2 linked regions of the Sus scrofa genome follow. The protein of the gene in region 1 interacts with the protein of each later gene in a pairwise test. Links are inferred from orthologs where the notes say so. Each region holds a gene or a part of one and is shown on either strand. Other genes may lie near its edges.

What was found.
Region 2: the proteins of CPT1B (region 1) and TEX44 interact in binary tests that used the Homo sapiens proteins (3 or more experiments, as listed by UniProt). The two-hybrid records come from large-scale screens. The link is inferred for Sus scrofa from reciprocal best matches to the Homo sapiens genes CPT1B and TEX44.

Annotation. Positions count from the first base shown.
Region 1 is NC_010447.5:161,155-164,046, forward strand, and holds the end of CPT1B (carnitine O-palmitoyltransferase 1, muscle isoform), read left to right. Parts: intron 1-105; coding exon 106-270; intron 271-342; coding exon 343-477; intron 478-572; coding exon 573-725; intron 726-1,262; coding exon 1,263-1,376; intron 1,377-1,845; coding exon 1,846-1,938; intron 1,939-2,050; coding exon 2,051-2,134; 3' UTR 2,135-2,382; downstream 2,383-2,892. UniProt on the Homo sapiens protein: Catalyzes the transfer of the acyl group of long-chain fatty acid-CoA conjugates onto carnitine, an essential step for the mitochondrial uptake of long-chain fatty acids and their subsequent beta-oxidation in the mitochondrion.
Region 2 is NC_010457.5:132,264,634-132,268,154, forward strand, and holds TEX44 (testis-expressed protein 44), read left to right. Parts: upstream 1-1,515; 5' UTR 1,516-1,802; coding exon 1,803-2,867; 3' UTR 2,868-2,979; downstream 2,980-3,521.

The DNA of each region.
Region 1 (2,892 bases):
CCCAGCCTCGCCCTCATCCGTTGCTCACCTTCAGGCCTCACAGATGTGACCCTGGGCTCTTGCTGGAGAGCTGTGCCCCCAGCTGACCTCTCCATGTCTCGGCAGTGCCAGGCGGTCATTGAGAGTTCCTACCAGGTGGCCAAGGCGCTGGCGGACGACGTGGAGCTGTACTGCTTCCAGTTCTTGCCCTTTGGCAAAGGCCTCATCAAGAAGTGCCGCACCAGCCCCGACGCCTTCGTGCAGATCGCCCTGCAGCTGGCCTACTTCCGGGTAGGAGCCGGCCGCTGAGCAGTGGGGTGGCCCCAGAGCCGCCTGGGAGATTCACCCCTCTGTGTTCCCCAGGACAGGGGCAAGTTCTGCCTGACCTATGAAGCCTCGATGACTCGAATGTTCCGGGAGGGACGGACAGAGACCGTGCGGTCCTGCACCCGCGAGTCCACAGCCTTCGTTCAGGCCATGGTGGAGGGGCGCCGCGTGGTGAGCGCCCCCCGGCCTTGTGGTGAGGGCACCCCTCGGCCTTTTGCTGGCGTGGGGGTCAGGGCTGCTCTTCACTGCTCCATTTCTGCCCCCAGAAAGCAGACCTGCAAGATCTGTTCCGGAAAGCTGCCCAGAAGCACCAGAATATGTACCGCCTGGCCATGACCGGGGCTGGGATCGACAGGCACCTCTTCTGCCTTTACGTGGTCTCCAAGTACCTGGGGGTCAGCTCCCCTTTCCTGGCTGAGGTCAGTGTCGATGGGCGTGTCCTCACGCCGGCTCCCCGCGGGTCTCCGCCTGTTCCCGCACTTGCCCTGGACGGCTGGGCCCAGCCTTCCCGCTGCACACCCCACCCAGGCCTGCGGACCTGGCATGAAGCAGGAGCCTCCCCCCATGGACTTGGTGTCCTCGTGAGAGCAGCTGGACAGACAGACGTGTCAGGTGGCGACAGTGCTCGTGAGAGAGGTGCAGAGGCTAAAGGGAATCCGTGTTCGGCACCTCCAGGACCTGGACACTGACACTGAAGCAGGGGTGTGGGTGTTTGAGGAACAGCAGGAAGGGAGGGGGCTGGCAGGCCACGTGATTGAGGGCTTTGTGCCGATGCCGCAGAGACAGTGAGAACAGACCTTGGGGACCAGGGGCAGCAGTCGGGGAGGTCCTGCATTCCATCCCTTCCATATCCGCAGCCAGGACGGTGCCTGGCTCACACAGGTGCTCGGGCCTCACCTGTCCGCAGGTGTGGGCAGAGCGCATGGCATCTGACTGCTGGGGCCTCCCTGTTGCAGGTGCTCTCAGAACCCTGGCGCCTCTCCACCAGCCAGATTGCCCAATTCCAGATCCGCATGTTTGACCCAAACAAGTACCCCAATCACCTGGGTGCCGGCGGCGGCTTTGGCCCTGTAAGTGCCCTGGACAGCAGACAAGCGGGCAGGGCCAGGGGCCGGAGGGTTCAGTAGAGAGCGCAGGGCCTCAAGCTTAGACCAGAGGCAGGAGCACAACTGGACCTGCCCTGCATGGAAACACACGGTCCTGTTGACCCCAGCATGAAAGGCAGCTGGAACCCCACCTCTGCTGGAGCGGCCTTGCCTAGGACCTTGTGCTCCCTCTCAAGTGGGCTGGTTTGTCAGGGAGCCAGAGACCCTGGAGAGAGGCAGTGATCCTGCACACCCCGAGGGAACTCGAGGTCGTGGCTCCGGGGGCGGGGGGTTGGTCTGCAGCCTGGGGCGGAGCTGTTCCATTTCGGCACCGTTTCCTGGGGGAGGCCCCTTCCTGTGAATCCTGCGGGCGGAGCAGGGATGACAGCAGCTTGGCCGTCAGATCCGCAAGGGCTGGTTTACCTCTTTTCTTCACCGCTCGTGCTGCCCCCAGGTGGCCGATGACGGCTACGGGGTCTCCTACATGATCGCGGGCGAGAACACCATCTTCTTCCACGTCTCCAGCAAGTTCTCAAGCTCAGAGACGGTGAGTCTCCCCTGCTCCCCCAGGGTCCTGTCTGGCTGGGGAAGAGCGCTTGCTTGTGGGGACAGAGGGGCAAGGCTCGCCTGGAGTTGCTCTGAGCTCTTGACTTGCGCAGAACGCCCAGCGCTTCGGGAACCACATCCGCCAGGCTCTGCTGGACCTCGCCGATCTCTTCCAAGTTCCCAAAGCTGACAGCTGAGGGCTGGAGAAACACCAGATGCCCTTTTGGCCCCGCATCGTGGAGGAAGGGGCCTGTGGTCAGCTCGCAGGCACAGGGGTGGCCGTGCGCAGGTGCCCAGGCTCCAAGGACACCTCTGGTAGCAGCTGCTGCCTGGGCAGGGCTGCTCCCAAGGGCTCAGTGGTGGAAGTCGGGCTGCAGCAGGGAGGGAATCTTGATTTTTTTTTTTTCTTGCTAGATGCTAATAAAAATAAGTTTGTATAATTCTATTTTAGCCCTTAAGTACGTGTGTTTTGTTTGGGAACTAGGAGGGCCTCCCCCTGCTCCAGCTCAGGCCAGGAAAGTGGCAAGGGCAGGGCTGTGGCTGGGAGACTATTTGCGGAGGCTTCTGGCCTGCTTGGAAAGGTGGGTCTCTGCTGTCCACACCCACATGTGCATTTGGAATCAGTTCTTACTTCGGAACCTTCACCTGCTCCCTGGGGCCACTTCTGTGTGTCTGCTGGAGGGGGGTGCCCAGCTGCCTCTGTGCCTGCGCATGCCCTCTGCACCCCCCACCCTGGCTGGAGCACAGCTCCGAGGAAGCCCTCAGCATCGGGAGAATCTGCAGTCCCAGGCCTGAGGTCTGGGTGCCAGGTGGTTGTGTCTGTGAGAAGGTGCACAGGATAATCTGGAGCAACAGACATGCCTTCCCTTGGGTCAGCTTTTTAACTAATATTAAAAGTAAACGAAAAAAGTGGGAGTTCCCGTCATGGCGCAGTGGTTAACGAATCCGACTACGA
Region 2 (3,521 bases), on another chromosome or scaffold:
GGGGAGGACGCCCAGCCTCCCCGTGGGGGAAAGAGTGTGTAATCAGATTCAGTGGGCACAGCTCAGCCACTGCTTTACCCTGGTTTGTAGCCACCGCCCGCGGTGTAAGTACCCCACAAAGACTGATGCTAAGCGATTTATTCCTTCCGGGGCTCAGCTCCCCCATGTATAAAATGAGCATAATGATGAATCCTCACCTGCCTAGAGACAACAGGGTAGTTGGAAGGATTCGATGTTTAGCTCCTTCTCCTGCCCGTGAGCAGCAGTCACTAATGTTAGCTGGTGACTGAGGGGCAGCTCAGACGCAACACACTGGCACCTCCACGCCAACCACCTTCTTACTGAAGAGCCACAAGCACAAGGAGGGCTGCCTGGGTCTATACTTCTTCAAAGAACACTCAGGGGTTTCCAGATCTTTGGTGATTCTCTACGCTCCCAGCCTAGTGGAGCAGGGAGAAGATGGAGATTGTTTAGCCTGGTGTCATAGGGTTACCGCCTGTCCTAGTTCATTCGGGTGTCTGGTGAGGCCCCTGCCTCCTGGTTCACAGACAACAATCTTCTCACTGCATTTCTCTCTTTCTTCTTTCCTTTTCCTTCCTTCCTTCCTTCCTTCCTTCCTTTTTCTTTCTTTCTTTCTTTCTTTCTTTCTTTCTTTCTTTCTTTCGTGTGTGTGTCTTTTTAGGGCATATACCTGCGGCATATGGAAGTTCCCAGGCTTGGGGTCGAATCAGAGCTGTAGCCGCAGGAACACCAGATCTGAGCCGCATCCGCGACCTACAGCTCACGGCTATGCTGGATCCTTAACCCATTGCACAAGGCCAGGGATCAAACTTGCATCCTCATGGATGCTGGTCAGATTCGTTAACCACTGAGCCTTGACGGGAACTCCCTCATTGCATTTCTCATGGAGGAGGTGGCCAGAAACCTCAGTGTGGTCCCTTCTAGAAGCGCACAAATCCCATTCCTGAGGGCTCCACCCTCATGACCTAATCAAGTCCCCAAATCCCCAGCTCCAAACACTATTACATTGGGAATTAGCTTTCAACATTTTTTTTTTTGGTCTTTTTTTGGGGCCACACCAGTGGCATATGGAAGTTCCCAGGCTAGGGGTTGAATTGGAGCTGCGGCTGCCACGGCTGGCACACAACAGCCACAGCCACACCAGTTCCGAGCCGTGTCTGTGGCAACGCCGTATCCTTAGCCCACTGAGCTAAGTGGGATCGAACCCTGGTCCTCATGGATACCCATCAGTTTCCTTGCTAGAGAGCCACCATGGGAACTCCTCCACATATAAATTTGGGGGTGAGACACGAACCTTCCGTCTCTAGCTCCTCATGACCAAAGACAGTCAGGGTTAGGAGCAGCCCAGGCCCTCATCCTTCACGTGTTCTGACTCACCATTGCTGTGAAACTGACTCTCTGCAGAAAGACGGGCCAACTCAGTCACCAGTGTGGACAGAGAGGTATTGTGAGTGTGTTATAATGAACACCTGCATCCGTCTTCTTTCATCAGCTCACAGCCATGATGTTTCCTTACCGTCACCTGCCCCTGGGTACACACACCCTCCATGCTTTCCCCAGACGTCTGCCTTTCTCTCCTTAAACACCTGCAAACTTGGCTACGAAAAGTCCCATAGACTCAGCCCACAAGGGCAGCTGCTCCGGAGGCTCAGGACCCTTGCTCTGCAGGTGCCTGTGACATCATCAGCTTCAACAGCCCCCTGTGACCTCACCACCTGGACGACTCCGCCCAGCAGGGCCGTGGCCACTCCTTCAATTGGCACAAGTGACAGAGGGCCTAGATGACCTCTGTGCCTTTGGGAGAGGCCAGAGCCGCCAGCATCCCCACACATGGTGAGAGCAGGGCAGCAGACATCCCAGCAGTGGGGTCCCGAAGTCAGGTCCCCCTCCTTGCAGATGTCCCAGTGTCAGCTGACCAGCGGGATGTAGACCAGGCCTCTGTCCAGCCAGCCACCTTGGAGGCCGTGTCAGAGTCTGGGGACAAGGACAAGCATGAAGCTGCCGCAGGATCTGCCCAGGAGCCCACGGAGGTCCTGCTTGCTTACTTGGCCCCAGATGTGCTGCAAACATCCAGGGGCCTCCAGAACCTGCTGCAGGACGGGCCGCTGCAAGATGCAAGGATGACCCAGAGTCCTAAGAGTCTCCAACACACCTCCCCGACTGAGGAGGAGGAGGAGACACCGCAAACAGCGGGCATCTCAGACATGGAGCCGGAACCAGCCTCATCTCTCCCAAGTGTTCAGGTGCAGCCCTCCCAAAATGCGGAGGCGCCGCCTGTCGTGAGCGCTGCAGACGCCAATGGCCAGCTTGATACTCTGGCCACTGGCTCCACTGAAGCTGTTGAGGAGAAACCTGAGGGTCCAGAGGCCTTGGACCCTGACACAGACACCGCACCATCGGCCCCCGCCTTGCCTGGCTGCCGACAGGTGGCCCTGGGGAGGAGGCGCCTGGACTTCATGGCCAGAGAGGACAACAGCTACATGCGCTCCGTGACCAGCTTGCTGGGCGGGGGCGAGGGGCCCATCAGCTCCCTGGCAGACATCCTGGTGTGGTCTGAGACCACCATGGGCATGACCAGGGGCATCCTGGCCTCTGGCCACGGCTCCGTGACAGACCTGCTGCGCAGCACGGGGCCCCGCCTGCACCCCGCCTCCAGCATCCTGGGGAGCCCCAGCCCCGCCTTCTCCTCCGGGCTGGTGGTGGGGACCAGCTCGGCCCTGCGCTCCATCACCCACATGCTGGAACTGGCGGAGCGCAGGACCATGGAGGGCATCCGCTTGGCCGTGCGCTACCTGACCAGCCACCTCACCTCTCGCCAGGCCCACACGGGCCCCAACCTCAACTAGATCTGTACTCAGCAGCCTCCTGAGACCCCTGGGACACTCATGCTCTGTCCTCTTGCCCATGTGCAGCCTGGGAGCTCTCCCCAGACCGGGCAATAAATCACCAGCAAACGTTTATTTTCCAAGTGCCAGCCTCATCCCTTGTCTGTGCAGTGGGCACATGGGAGAAGGACAGGAGGGGGCTGGGGTGTTCTGGAAACAGATTGTGTCCCCTGAGGGCTTCTTGGGTTGCCCCATTCAGGGGCTGGAGGCCAAAGTGCAGAGAGAGAAGAGCCCGGGGCAGGCCTGGGAGACCAGGCGTAGGGGGCGCAGACCTGCAGAAACTGATCCTGGCTGGACCTCCAATCAGGTAAGTGCATTTCTGCGCAGGAAGCAAGTCCCAGCCCTTCTCCCTGGCCTGCCGGCTTCGCAGGCTCAGGCCGCCCTGCTAGGCTCTCTGAGAGTGGGGTTGAGAGCACGGGGCCAGACCAACTGGACTCAAACTCCAGCACCACTCCTGGCTATAGGCCAATCCCTGCACCCTCTGAACCTCCAACTCTCATCAGTAGAACAGATAACAAACCCACTCCATGAAGACGTTAGCAGAAGGAAGGGAAACAACCCAGGTCCCAACACATGATGTCAGGCACTTAAGAAACTCACACATTTCCGCTGCCA